Linked DNA regions of Nothobranchius furzeri. The protein of the gene in region 3 interacts with the protein of the main gene of each other region in a biochemical or structural test. Links are inferred from orthologs where the notes say so. Each region holds a gene or a part of one and is shown on either strand. Other genes may lie near its edges. The genes, in order: prpf19, ctnnbl1, cdc5l and plrg1.

Evidence for each region.
Region 1: the proteins of cdc5l (region 3) and prpf19 form a complex in vitro, tested with the Homo sapiens proteins (2 studies listed by BioGRID, with this or other methods). The link is inferred for Nothobranchius furzeri from reciprocal best matches to the Homo sapiens genes CDC5L and PRPF19.
Region 2: the proteins of cdc5l (region 3) and ctnnbl1 form a complex in vitro, tested with the Homo sapiens proteins (3 studies listed by BioGRID and IntAct, with this or other methods). The link is inferred for Nothobranchius furzeri from reciprocal best matches to the Homo sapiens genes CDC5L and CTNNBL1.
Region 4: the proteins of cdc5l (region 3) and plrg1 form a complex in vitro, tested with the Homo sapiens proteins (3 studies listed by BioGRID, with this or other methods). The link is inferred for Nothobranchius furzeri from reciprocal best matches to the Homo sapiens genes CDC5L and PLRG1.

What each region holds. Positions count from the first base shown.
Region 1 is NC_091741.1:94,861,615-94,865,909, reverse strand, and holds the start of prpf19 (pre-mRNA-processing factor 19), read left to right. Parts: upstream 1-1,457; 5' UTR 1,458-1,590; coding exon 1,591-1,609; intron 1,610-1,803; coding exon 1,804-1,953; intron 1,954-2,467; coding exon 2,468-2,544; intron 2,545-2,830; coding exon 2,831-2,972; intron 2,973-3,113; coding exon 3,114-3,187; intron 3,188-3,273; coding exon 3,274-3,339; intron 3,340-3,435; coding exon 3,436-3,477; intron 3,478-3,582; coding exon 3,583-3,657; intron 3,658-3,743; coding exon 3,744-3,819; intron 3,820-3,919; coding exon 3,920-4,029; intron 4,030-4,118; coding exon 4,119-4,274; intron 4,275-4,295. Other genes in the region: uncharacterized protein, read left to right, coding at 1-127. UniProt on the Homo sapiens protein: Ubiquitin-protein ligase which is a core component of several complexes mainly involved pre-mRNA splicing and DNA repair. Required for pre-mRNA splicing as component of the spliceosome.
Region 2 is NC_091755.1:51,796,299-51,799,867, reverse strand, and holds part of ctnnbl1 (beta-catenin-like protein 1), read left to right. Parts: coding exon 1-42; intron 43-574; coding exon 575-647; intron 648-1,537; coding exon 1,538-1,596; intron 1,597-2,806; coding exon 2,807-2,955; intron 2,956-3,569. UniProt on the Homo sapiens protein: Component of the PRP19-CDC5L complex that forms an integral part of the spliceosome and is required for activating pre-mRNA splicing.
Region 3 is NC_091752.1:40,109,925-40,113,493, forward strand, and holds part of cdc5l (cell division cycle 5-like protein), read left to right. Parts: intron 1-684; coding exon 685-788; intron 789-1,145; coding exon 1,146-1,307; intron 1,308-1,415; coding exon 1,416-1,543; intron 1,544-1,703; coding exon 1,704-1,803; intron 1,804-1,909; coding exon 1,910-2,036; intron 2,037-2,142; coding exon 2,143-2,234; intron 2,235-2,311; coding exon 2,312-2,456; intron 2,457-2,546; coding exon 2,547-2,738; intron 2,739-2,915; coding exon 2,916-3,064; intron 3,065-3,569.
Region 4 is NC_091744.1:17,227,072-17,229,859, reverse strand, and holds part of plrg1 (pleiotropic regulator 1), read left to right. Parts: intron 1-1,031; coding exon 1,032-1,133; intron 1,134-1,559; coding exon 1,560-1,662; intron 1,663-2,053; coding exon 2,054-2,162; intron 2,163-2,788. UniProt on the Homo sapiens protein: Involved in pre-mRNA splicing as component of the spliceosome. Component of the PRP19-CDC5L complex that forms an integral part of the spliceosome and is required for activating pre-mRNA splicing.

The DNA.
Region 1 (4,295 bases), on a different chromosome or scaffold from region 3:
GATCAAGAAAGACGGAGATGAGGAAAGGTGGAGCAAATCCAACAACTTATTTTCCGCGCTGCCTCTAGATACGGACACTTCTGAATCTTGCAGTGTTTACACATCAAATAAACTGGACTTTCTATAAAAACGGAGGCTAGGATGAGATGAGAAGTGAAGCTTGAGGCATGGAAATATTACAGTAGATGATTCTAAGCTGACATGAACAATCTCATGTGCACCAGTTTGCACACTTTTAATTCTTGGGTTTGTACTGAGTTTTGAACCACGGGTTGAGCGTTACCCTTCATGTCACACATTGCACTATGGTGCTCATGAAATCTCCTGCTGTTACCTACCTCCAGACCCTCAGGACCAACATGATCTGCACTGTCTTTGCCGGGTGTCTCAAGTGTTCATTGGCCTTCTATGATCCCTAGGTCTGCATAAACGTCAACATAGTTACTCTAAGGTTTGCAAGAGAAAATTATTAAAATGCCACATTATTATAGCATAAACTAAAGTGCATAATCATCCTGTTCATTCCTGACTGCTGCAAAAAATATTATAAATATCTGTCTTGCAGTTAAAGTTATTTTGCAGGTGTAGTGTTATTACCCTCTAGACAATTGTAGAAATGTAACCTATTATAGGGCAACAGCCTGTAAATCTGGGAACATATTATAGCATCACTAATGTAATTCATTATTGACTATCAGAAGGTTGTCTCTAAAACAATAAAATGTATATTTAACACAAACGCCTCATATTATCTATTCTTTGACTATAGAGAAATCTGCTTGAGCATGGGTCTGCATTCTTTACAATCCAAACGGCCGTTTTTCTCTCAGTCCATCCCAATAATTGTTCAGAGCCTCAACTGTTAGAGGACGTTCAGGAAAAACGCCATTTATGATAAAAATCTATGTTGGAGGTTTAACGTAGAGGAAAGTTATCTTCTTTTTTTTTTTTTTTTTTTTGCTCAGATGTCTTGACATTAATGGGAGAATTCTGAGATTAAAGCAAGAAATATTTGTGCCTTCTTCAATAAGGAACTATTAGATTTGCTGTCATTTAAAAATATCCAACATTTGTTTCCATTAGTCAATTTTAAAATGATAAAAAAAATACTTTGGCAAACGTAGAATGGAGATTTTTCTCTGGGATGTTGATATTTGTGGAAAATTATGTCAAATGGTAATTGTAGTTTCATTTTGATGTGGATATTCAATGTAGTTATTCCATAAAACCCGAAAAGCTGCTTTAACCAACAATTTTTAATATGTCTATGTTAAAAATGTGCTTTTTAAAATAATTTTTATCTAAAGAGCCACTTGCACTGCTGGTTGCAGACCCCTGTAAGATTTTCAAGAGTGCAGTGGTGTGTTTTAAGCGGTGGAGGGCAGTGCAGACTGAAATGAGTGCGGTTTGATTGTTGGCGGAAACCAGCGACGAAGAAAAAGGAAGCAGTTCCTTTATAGCGGCAATGAAAGGACAGCGTGCTATCTCCAGTTTGAACTAAATATAAGTGTTCACAAGCGGGGGGAAATTCAAGACGCCAAAAAACACAGTCTACGTTTAGGAGGGCACTGTTAGGACTGCGTTTGGAACATGTCTTTGGTTTGTGCAAGTAAGTGAAGATGAAAATTTGCAGGACGGCGCCTGTGAGTTAGCTCGGTATCATGCTAATGCTACAAGCTAATGAAGCTAACATTAGCGGCCACGCAAACCGTATTTAACTTCAGTTTCCCTCCATTCTCTTTTTTTTCTTTGTTTTTACTGAGTTGTGAGCGTTATGCGCCCTCTCCTTTTGTTTGTTTGTAGTTTGCAACGAGGTGCCGGAGCACCCGTGCATCTCCCCGGTGTCCAATCATGTGTTTGAGCGGAGGCTGATAGAGAAGTACATCGCCGAGAATGGGACGGACCCGATGAACGGACAGCCGCTGTCCGAGGAGCAGCTAGTGGACATCAAAGGTGAACTACACCCTCGATTTGACTTTATTTAAGTTTGATTAACTTGATATTTTTGGACACTACGAATGAATTAATGAGTAAACGACGAGTTTGAAATTCGCATTGTATTAAAGCCTGTTTAACATGATAAACATGAAATGCTGAGTTATTCACACTGAAGTGGTTGTTTGGGACAGATTATTTAACCTAAGGCTAACCGATTATTAATCCAGGCATCAAAAGGGATCAAAATTAAAAATACAGTTTATTATAATAAAGGTAAATAACTAAACTTTTTGTCTTGCGTCGTTTTTAACTGAAATGATCATGGCCATCTGATCTTTCATTTATTTTATTTTTAATTGAGTCGTAATTTTAAAATAATGGTTTTAATTTATTATTAGTAACACTCTGATAAGTCTGGGCCTTTCAATAAACTGTACCAGTTCAATCCAGTTGCACACTGAAATAACATATTTAACTTAAAAAGGTTTGACTGAATTTTTCCTGGTTTGGAAAATGTCTTCCCGCTTAGTGACCCACCCCATCAGACCAAAGGCGCCATCAGCAACAAGCATCCCAGCTATTCTCAAGTCTCTTCAAGATGAGTGGGTGAGTGATGGAAACGGTCAGGAGGACACTCGTCCACCTCACACCTGTGTGTTATTGTTGACTATTTAGAACAGGAATCACCCTTTTATTTTTCACACAACAGCTGCTATTTGAACAAAAATAAATCTGAAAACTCGTCAAACACATAGATCAACATATGACACTTTTACGTAACTTTTGAAGTAATTTTGGGGTTTGTAAGCTCAAGTATTAAAGACATTGCTGTCATTTCTAATAAATTAATTTCAAATCTCAGGAAGAGTTGTTTTTTTTATGCGTCCTACAGGATGCCGTCATGCTTCACAGCTTCACCTTGCGGCAGCAACTGCAGACTACTCGCCAGGAACTCTCTCACGCCCTTTATCAACACGACGCAGCCTGCAGAGTCATCGCTCGACTCAACAAGGAGGTCACGGCTGCAAGAGAAGGTCTGTATGTCCTAAGAAGACACATCTTGGTGTTTCTAAAATGTTAATAGCCACTTGGCGTGTTATTTCAAAGGTTTATTTGTTAAATGGGAACATAAGCACGTTTAAAATGTCCTAAATGTGTTTATTTTGTTTTTGCAGCTCTGGCCACACTTAAACCTCAAGCTGGACTGGTGACCCCTCAGGCCGCCCCCGCCTCTCAGCCTGCTGCAGCAGTGAGTGACCCATGCCTAACTGTTTTAACCCTCAGCTCTTGGTAGTTTTAGTCCTCTTGTATAAAATATTCACATTTGTATTGCAGGGTGCTGGTGGAGAGCCTATGGAGATCAGTGAACAGGTGGGAATGACTCCAGAGATCATCCAGAAGGTAAAACACTTTTTTTATGTCCACAGAATTTTATTATTTTATTATAAGCTCATATTTCATTTTATTTAAACAATTTAATCTGTTTGATCATTCCAGCTGCAAGACAAGGCTACTATTCTCACCACAGAGAGGAAAAAGGTTTGTAGCATTTTTTCCTTGTTATAGTTATAACTTCCAACGGAAGGTAAAGTTTTTATATCTTGTGATTGTGTGTGATTTAAAAAGTTCCTTGTGCTTCTGTAGAGGGGAAAAACTGTTCCAGAGGAGCTGGTTAGAGCCGAGGATCTCAGCAAGTACCGCCAAGTGGCCTCCCACGCTGTAAGTGCAGAACCAGGATGATGAAGATGGTCCTATAAACGACTGAATGTGCTTCATCTGGTGGACTTGTTTCCTGTTTGCTTCAGGGTCTTCACAGCGCCAGTGTGCCTGGTATTCTGTCCCTGGACGTGTGTCCCTCAGACACCAGCAAAGTGCTCACTGGTACTCTGAGCTTAACTCTGTCCTATTTGATTTGGCGTTGTGTCGAATCACCCGCTCGGGGCCGATTTAGTCCAACGCTGACTGTGTTGTCGTCCTCCAGGTGGAGCTGATAAGAGTGTGGTGGTGTTTGACAAGAACGAGGAGCAGATTGTGGCGACTCTTAAAGGCCACACCAAAAAGGTCACCTCTGTCATTTTCCATCCATCTCAGGTGAGTCTTTGTCCGTTGGGGGTCTTTTATTGATAACTGAAGGAACGTGCCAGGTGTGATCCTTCTCTCTGACGTGTTCTCCCCTCTAGTCTATGGTCTTCTCTGCCTCTCCTGATGCCACCATCCGTGTGTGGTCTGTTACCGGGGGCAACTGCATCCAGGTGGTGCGTGCCCACGAAGCCAGCGTCACCGGTCTGTCCCTTCATGCTACTGGAGACTACCTGCTCAGCTCCTCTGAGGATCAGGTGGGCATGAATTAAGGTTTA
Region 2 (3,569 bases), on a different chromosome or scaffold from region 3:
GCTCAGCAGGGACTCATGCAGTGGCTGCTCAAGAGAATCAAGGTAAGACCCAGGACTCGTGAAATGAATACCAGCTAATAAGATGATATCTCTGAGTACATAAAACTTCTGGTATGTTCTCAGTCATGCCGGGTTTGATGATTTGTTTTTTTCTGTTTAACTGCTGTACTTGTATAGGATAAATGTTTATTCTGAGATTTTGTGACAGGGATGTTATAGAGCAAACCTTATAACTACTGTAGGTTTGTCTGTAACAAAAACAAAAATCTAGTTTCATATTTATCTAAAAAAAAAACGTCTGGTTTAGTTTGGAATCACACCATCTGCGGGAATTAATTTCTGTGTTTTCCCTCTTTTGGGTTGTTTTGAATAAAATAAATGAGGTTATAAATATGTTCAGAAATGATGTGCAGTATTATACACTGTGTGAGACAGAATCTGCATAAAGCAGGTCTCTGCTTGAGGTTAGAAAATGCAGATTTTCCTGTAGAATACATAGTGATTTTGTAATCCTCTGGAGAACAGAGTTTCTCAAGAGGAGTGGTAATTAGACTTCGCTCTCCTTCCCTCTCAGGCAAAGATGCCGTTTGATGCTAACAAGCTGTACTGCAGTGAAATTCTAGCCATTCTGCTGCAAAATAATGACAGTAAGTGTATCTCAGTAAATTGTTGACGTGTTCTAAATTATTTATTTATCTTCCATCTTTTTTCCGCCTGTTCACCCTAAATTGACTTCAACCCTCCATTCTGTCTTAGTTACATTTCTCTCATTGAACTTGTTAAAATATTTTCCTTGTCGTCCTCTCCCTCTCTAAAATGTTCCTCCTTTTTAAGTTACTTTCCACGCCATCTCTGTTGGTTTATGTGCAGTCGTCTTCATCCTTTCCCTCCCTCACAAAAAAGAAAGGCAGTAAAATCAGAGCCACAGGACGACCAGGGCCTTGGGCTAGTTCTCATTAATGGTACAAATCACATTGGTATGCAGCTGAAGTCATTTCTCATTTCGCACCTATTTCCCCACTCTTCTCTTGTGCTGCCTCCATTATAACTCTCTCTCTCTTTTGCATTTCAAAATGAAAAATTTATACAAAACTATGTTTTGCCAAAACAAGGACACATGCTGTCTTGAGTACTATCCTGTTTAATATATATATATATATATATATATATATATATATATATATATATATATATATATATATATATATATATAGCCACATAAAATGGGAAATTATAACAACATAGGCAACATTCCTGATGTCCTAATTTGCATCTACTTATTTTTATTAGACTTCAATAAAAACAAAAATCTAAAAGATATCATATAAAACAGCAGAGGCGTTAGTGTGGAAGCTCCCGATGCCTTTAAATTGTCCCATCTTATTTCCTTAGTCATTATTTTGTTAAAGTAATTGATTTAGGTTTAGCACAAATCATTTTTGTTTAAATGCTCATTTTTATAATCGGAATCTTGTGAACTCATTTCTGCCTCCTTTTCATTCACCTTGTTGTCTTTTTATTTTCTCTTTCTTTACAGGTACCAGAGAACTGCTGGGTGAAATGGATGGTATTGATGTGCTACTGCAGCAGTTATCTGTAAGAACTTTTATTTTTTTCTCTCACTTGTATTCAAACTAGGGATGCTCGATATTTTCTTTTTGTTTTTTTTACCAATATCAGACACACCGATATTGTCTGACTCTTAATTTCCAATACCAATTTAAACATACTGATTAATTTTATGCCCCTCCCTCATAAAAAAGAAAAACTGAAATATTTTAGGTTACTAACACATCACATATCTCCCATTAGTCGTTTGTTAGCCGTCTAGCTACACATTGCCAGGTGCAGGACGGTGTACGTTCACCACACAGGGCAAATTTCTACTTCTCAAATTGTGTCAAAAAAACTAAAATATGTCAATAACCTTACCTCAGATCTGTCATATTTTAACATTTTGAGAGAGAGAATAAGTAGCTGAAGAATTTGATGTATATTATGTGGATGTTATTAACTCATTCACCGCCAATGACGACTAAAGTCACCATTTGCATTTATTTACTGTGTGGGCGTCGGAACGAGCCCCCGCACCATGAGAACGAACATCTCAGCTCTAAAGCTGATCTTCATTCGCGTACATCACACGTCATGTGATCAGGAAGCAGAAAATCCATGTGTTAGGAGATCGTTTTCGGACGTTGCTGTAAAAAAAGTGAGGCGCGAACCGGAAAAGCTTCTGCCGATCACAATTCAACAACGGATTATGAAAGAACGGATAACGCTCGAAACGCGTGGATTCTTCCTGATGTAAGAAGTGAGTCTCCTCTTTGTTTTGGTAGTTTTCGCATTGACATCATCCTAGCGCGCAACGTTATGTGACTCTTAAAAAAACTGTGAAAATGCTGAAAACCGCTGGCAGCGAAAGGCTTTTCTGATCAGGAAACGGCTGGCAGTTAACGAGTTAAAAGGTTGGGTCAAAACCGATACCAATATTGTCCGGTATTACATTTTTTATGCCAATATCTGTCGATATTAATAATAAACCAATAATATTGCACATCCGTGGTTCAAACATTTAACTTATTTCTAAGCTCTAAACACGCCCGGCGCCTGTTCTCCTGCAACGCATTTTGTCTAACGTGAAGCTGTGCAAGCAACCCCACCACTGATGAATGTTTGGTTTAGTGTGGCTTTTATTTGGAATTAGCTTTATTTCATAATTAGATGCTAAATTAGTAGACAAAGGTATAATCCTTCATGTCATCTTTTTTCTAAGTGCTTCCCACTCCTTGTCCTTTTCTCTCAGGTGTTCAAACGTCACAATCCGAACACGGCTGAGGAGCAGGAGATGATGGAAAATCTGTTTGATGCTCTGTGTTCCTGCCTCATGCTGCCCTCTAATCGGGATCGCTTCCTCAAAGGAGAAGGGCTTCAGCTAATGAATCTCATGCTCAGGTAAAGGTTTAATCTACAAGAAATCCCATGAGTGGGATGCACTACAGACTTCCTAAACCGTAAATCATCCCGCAGCTTGCCAGGGATCCCATCCCTCATATCCGTAAAGGTAAAGGTTTCCCAGATCAGGCTTTCAGCTGTTGTTTCATATTTTTCAGGACTTCTATAAATTGACAGACTTTAAATGTATATTACACGCTTCTATCTGAAGCAGATATCACTCTAAATACCAGAATGTTATTTGACCTTTTCTCTTTGTCGCAGCTTTAGGATTTTTACATTTCCCAAAGCACTTTACAATAAAAGGTTTACACCAACAGTTCAGCGTTTTGGAGGACCACCTGAAACCAAAATGATTAATATGCTTATGCTACTATAAGTGCAACAATAATAACAGTAATACACAGTTAAAGGTTGACTATGGAACACAAACACTCTGGTGTTCAGAGAACAAATTTTCCAGTTGCTGGGATGTTGGTTCACTGCTGACCCGTTCCAGCACTATGTTCAGAGACAAATTGTACAGGATAAGGACAAATTTCTACTAATAACTTTATTTTACAACAAAATTTACCATTGGAACATCTTCTGGGCTCAAAATCAGCTGCTTGTCA
Region 3 (3,569 bases):
GGGGTTTCAAACGCACAAAGAGCTGTGATTGGTCCATAATGGTGGGCCAATCATAGTGCTCTATCTGCTTAGTGAACAAATCACAGAGCTTTATCCGCTTTGTGGGCCAATCAGGGCACTCGATATGCCTGGTGGGTGGGATGATGCAACAGAGTGAAACAAGAGTATGTCACATTCATTGTCCAGTGGAATGCGGAGATCATTTGAAAGACAACGGTAGAACCCGCCCCACAACCGAGAGCCGTCAATGGAGCATGGCCAGACTAAATAATACATTTATTTAGTCTGGCTTGCCAGGCTAGCTGATGTTAGATTTTACGTGGAAATGAACCATACAGATTAAAAGTAGTCTCTAGTCAGAACACGTCTCTGCTGTTTCTGATCACAGATTACACACTAAGCAGAAAAACACACGAGCTTGCATTTATATAGCGAACATTTTCTGTGTTTTCTTCACTGTGTCATCCAAGTAAAAACTGCAGAAACAGAGGATAATGCTCCGACCCACGTGAGAAAGTCCAGAACTCTGGGGGGTGGGTGCAGGCTAACAGCTGCAGCTCTGAGTCAACTTAATGACTTTAATATGATTATTATGTTTTATGTTAATTATTTGTTAGTTTTAATATATGTAAGTTCTAACTTTGTCTTTCTGCCTGTTTGCTTTTTTTACCCTAATTTTTTCAGGATGAGATCCTCAAGGCAGCGGTGATGAAATATGGGAAGAACCAGTGGTCTCGTATCGCCTCCCTGCTTCACCGCAAATCTGCCAAACAGTGTAAAGCCAGATGGTGAGTTTGTAGCCTTTCTACCGGGACACGACACCGACCATTACAAAGGTTAACTACTTTTTTGGGCTGCATGGTGATGCAGTTGTTAGCACTGTTGCCTCGCAGCAAGAAGGTTGCAGGTTCGAAACTCGGCTGTGACCTTTTTGCGTGGAGTTGCATGTTCTCATCATGCATGCGTGGGTTTCCTCCGGGTACTCCGGTTCCCCCACACATCACAACATGCCCTATAGGTTATACGTTGTACGTCGTTTTGGATAAAGGCGTCTGCCAAATAAGTAAACATAAACATACTTTTCTGTTGTAGGTGTGTTCAGTCCGACTACCTGAATCACTCGTCGACGGTGTTTCTGTTTGCAGGTACGAGTGGTTGGACCCCAGTATCAAAAAAACAGAGTGGTCCAGAGAAGAGGAGGAGAAGTTGCTTCACTTGGCCAAGCTGATGCCGACTCAGTGGAGGACCATTGCTCCCATCATTGGGCGCACTGCTGCCCAGTGTCTAGAGCACTATGAATACCTGCTGTACAGTTTCAATTTTTACACTCATTTGCTCTTTGCTACCAGAGAGGAACTTTGCATTTATGGCAATTTACAGGTCAGGGTGACAGATGTGCTTTTGTCTTCATTTAGAGATAAAGCAGCACAGAGAGACAACGAGGAAGAGGTGGGAGATGATCCCAGGAAGCTGAAACCAGGAGAGATCGACCCAAACCCTGAGACTAAACCTGCCAGACCTGACCCCGTGGACATGGATGAAGGTGAAATCACACACTTCATTCTTTCACAAGCACAAAATAAGTTTTTGTTCTGCAGCATTATTCCTCTCATCTCTTTTAGGAACGTTGGTTTCTGTGCTAATAAGTGGGTCCGATTAGCAGCAATAGAAACATACACACGACTGTGTTTTTGTCTTTGTAGATGAGCTGGAGATGTTGTCAGAAGCCAGAGCTCGTCTGGCCAACACGCAGGGCAAAAAAGCCAAGAGGAAGGCCAGAGAGAAACAGCTGGAGGAAGCCAGGTATGGCCAATTCCATCCATTAACATCCATTCAGGGGTAGCCCTGAAATCCATCAGTGCATAACAAACAAATATTTGTCCTTTGTTTTACTCTCATTCTGCTGCAGGCGCCTGGCTGCTCTGCAGAAACGCAGAGAGCTGAGAGCAGCAGGAATCCACGTTCAGAAGAAGAGAAAGAAGAAGAGAGGAGTGGACTACAATGCTGAAATCCCCTTTGAAAAGAAACCTGCACCAGTAACTATTGATGCTAATATTTATTCATTCATTATTTAAGCTACAGCCCAGTGTCACCAACGTCAGACTGTGAGTTGGATTGTAAATTATTTTTGTTTCCTGTTAGGGTTTCTATGACACCAGCATGGAGCAGTACGATGCCCTGGAGCCACACTTTAAACGACTCAGGCAGCAGCACTTGGACGGGGAGCTACGCAAGTCAGTAACAACACACACTCTGCTTTTATGCATCAACTGAATCTGGAGTTCTCACTTAATCAGTTGTTTACATGTAGCGAGTCTGAGGAGAGGGACCGAAAGAAAGATAAACAGAAGATGAAGAAGAAGAAAGAGAGCGATCTGCCATCAGCTATCCTGCAGACTAGCGGAGTGGCAGAGTTCACCAAGAAGCGCTCCAAACTGGTGTTACCCGCCCCACAGGTATGCTCCAGGATCACAGCAGTGTCTGAGCTCGGATGCATCTGGTCCTAACAGATCAGCGATGTTTGTCTGTCCTTCCTCTGGTTTCAGATCAGTGATGCGGAGTTAGAGGAGGTCGTGAAACTGGGAGTGGCAAGTGAGGTCGCCCGCCAGGCTGCTGAGGAAAGCGAAGGTGGGAACTCTGCTTCCTCCACCCTCCTGTCTGAGTACAGCATCACCAACAACATGACAACTGGACTACGAACCCCACGCACCCCTGCTGCACAGGACAGGATCCTGCAGGTTGACCACAAACACAATGACTTTCTCACTTCATCTAAGTTTTCTGGTATTTTGTACAAATCAGTTGTTTTGTGGTCTTTATTTACTTGTATTTTTTATTTTCTCTCATTTAAATTAACCAAGCAGAAGCTTTCTTCTCTGTTTATATTCATGTGTTTTTGTGCTTCTGTTCTGTAGGAAGCCCAGAACCTGATGGCTCTGACCAACATAGACACGCCGCTGAAGGGGGGTCTCAACACCCCGCTGCACGAGAGTGACTTCAGCGGCGTGACGCCTCAGAGGCAGCAGGTCCAAACACCAAACACTGTTCTCAGTACACCGTTCAGGTATGATCTCACTCTCCTGTCTTGTTATGGTGCATCAAAGCTTTTAACTTTAGTTACAGAAAAATGTGTTCATTAAAACTATTCTTCCAGCTTTGCCAAAACAACAAAGCTTGTGTTTTGTAAACATCAGCTGATTCATAAATCTTTTGCTCGTGTAATTAAACCAGAAAGGCTTAAGTAGCCTGTTTTAATGTTGCTTTAGCTTCTGGTGCAGCAGACTGGTTATAACCCCTCTTGGTTCAAATTGAGTTTCTGTTGGAAATAGGGCTGCAACAAACGATTATTTGGATAATCGATTAATCGGATGGGGTCTCGACACGATTAATCGATTAATCGGATTACATGGGGAAATTTTTAAAAACTGCTAGGGAAATGTTATTTCTCTCCTTCCTTCACTTTATTTAACACAACATTATTAGAAAACAGTTCAGTAGCAGAAAAACAACATGCCATCACCTAAATTGTCTTATAAGGTGTATAGACAGAGACCCTAAGCTACATCTAT
Region 4 (2,788 bases), on a different chromosome or scaffold from region 3:
GTTTGCGCAGAAACAAAAGTTGTCCACTAGATGGGGCTGTCACATGTACCACCTTAACTCACACTTTTACGTGACTCAAGGTGGAACAGCTTCTTAAAGGGACATGAATGTTGCCGACCTACACATATTTTCATTTTTATTATCAAATTACTTGACATGGGAACAATGATCTCGATAAGAGTCAGAAATTTCTTTAACGATAAATTTTCGATTTATTGCCCAGCTCTATGTTGAAGCATCAGTTTTACGGTATTTGAGGGCATTTTTTTCCCCACGCTACACTCCACATAAACCCTGAGTCGGTCTGAACCAAAAAGCACCTGCTACGAACAGGTTGTTTGCTAGGCTACATCTGTTAGCAAGACAAACATCAGAGTAATGAAAGCATTTAGAATTGTATACATTATACATTAAAGTATATTGGTAATGGCCAGCATGACATGTTGACCACTTACAGGTTTCGAAAGATTGTACATAAAAAAAAAGGCGTAGTCTTTGCTGTGAATCGGTCCAGGCAGCCGCCAATTCTTCCTGGTGCACTAGTCCAACCCCAAAGCCTTGGCAGCCAATCAGCAGAGAGCTGAACAAACCGAAGCTAGCCTGGCCTTAACCAAAAGTGCCCAAAACACAATATCGGTGTGAAACTGCATGTAGACAACATGTTCTGTGTTTTTAGTGCATTAACAACGCAGATTTATGACAGACAAACATAAGTTTTAGTCCTGCTACCTCTTCTAGCTTCACACTTAGCATGCTAAATGTTTACTTTACTTTGGTGTGACTGTGGAGCAGTTAATTTGGTCCCCCGCTGAAACACTTTCCCACATTCCAGACCTTGTCTGAGCTATTCACCATGTCAGCAGCATATGAAAGATTAACATCATAACAGAAACACACACCGGTTTCTAGTACAGACCTGTGTACCACAGGCATATTTACTACTCTATTTAATCTAAAATAACTTGGTTTTGTGTATTTATAGCAGTTGTGGTATTTTTACAGCCTCACGACAGCATTGGTTTGTCTTCCAGGTAATCAGGCACTACCATGGCCACCTCAGTGCTGTGTATGATTTGGATCTACATCCAACCATCGATGTGCTTGTGACATGCAGCCGAGACGCCTCAGCGAGGGTGAGTTTAGTTTGGGCTGTGTTGGAGCTTGATGGGAAATGTGGGTGTAGAGGTGGCGACTGCATGAAGAGGTGGAAGAGAACGTCTCTGAAATACACAAACACACAATACAAACACAAACTACAGTTAATATGCTATCCTGGACCAGAGATGTGACTGCAGTGGTGGTGCGACGCCCTCTGTTGTCCTGGCAGGGAATCGCTTTGCAACTCTCCCCAGTGAAAACGTCGCTGTCAGTGCGTGTGTGCCGCTCTGCACCCGAGCTGAGGAGGAGGAAAACATCAGTGATGTGTAACCTAGAGATGAAAGGGAATGTGTGTGTTGTTTTAAACCATGAGACCAATATGGTTCTAGTTTGGTGGGATTAGGCCTCTGTCTTGTTTAATCCCAATCCTGACTGGGACTGGATTTTCTTTGTGCTTTTAGGTGTGGGACATCAGGTCAAAAGCAAACGTGCACACACTTACTGGTCATACCAACACGGTGGCTACAGTCAGATGTCAGGCTGTAGAGCCACAGATCATCACTGGTGAGTAGATTTGAAGCCAATAACAGTGATTATGGCTGCTCCACTTGGGGGGGGGGGGCTTGGTCTCCATTGTGTTTGTTATTGGTGAAATCATTATTTAACTTGATGACTTGTTGACTTGGGGAAACACTCCACCATGAATGCTGTGGTGCACCTTATCAAAATAAGAGCCCGAGTGATGCACGAGATTAATTTTTATACACTATATTATAAATCACTTCAGAAGTCTTTTATTCATTTTGATTTAAAGGAACACAGATTCTGTGGTAGAGCTGATCTAAAGTGTCAAGAGTTCAGGTTTTAAGCAGGCAGTTTCATGTTTGCAGGTGACAAAACTGTGTGTGTGTGTGTGTGTGTGTGTGTGTGTGTGTGTGTGTGTGTGTGTGTGTAGGCAGTCACGATGCAACCATCAGGCTTTGGGATCTGATCGCTGGGAAGACCAGAGCAACTCTGACAAACCACAAGAAATCTGTCCGAACTCTGGTGCTGCACCCCAGACAGTAAGTCCTCACGTTAGCCAATTGATTGGCTTTATTGAGTTTAAATTTTTGTTTGACTACAGATTTAATTTGGTGATATTCTAAAAAGCTATTCTTATCCATTCCAAATTGGGAGACTATTCTATTAAATGGGATGAAGTCCAGTCCTTCATATATGTGTTCCAGGTATAGGATCCCTTTATTTTTCCAGTCCGGAAGGTTCATCATTTTGTTATTTTGCAAAATATCAGGATTTTTCCAGATAGGTGTGCGTCTGCATGGTACTAGTGTAGACTCTGTCATTTTAAGATACTCCCACCATGCTGTCAGAGAGGTGATGATACTAATACTTTTGAAGCCTTCATGTTTTCTTATGCTTGAGCTAATAAATGGTAAGTCTGAAAGCTCTATCGTATTGCAAAGTGTCTGTTCCATATCTAACCAGGACTCATCTAGTGGGTTATCTTGCAACCATCTTGGTATATATTGCAGCCTGTTGGCTAAGAAAAATAATAAAAGTTGGGTAGATCCAGTCCTCTTCTATCTTTGGTCTTCTGAAGCGTTTTTAAGCTAATTCGTGGAGGTTTATCCTGCCAAAGGAATTTAGTAATTGAGGAGTCCAGAGATTTAAACCAGTCAGCTGGTGG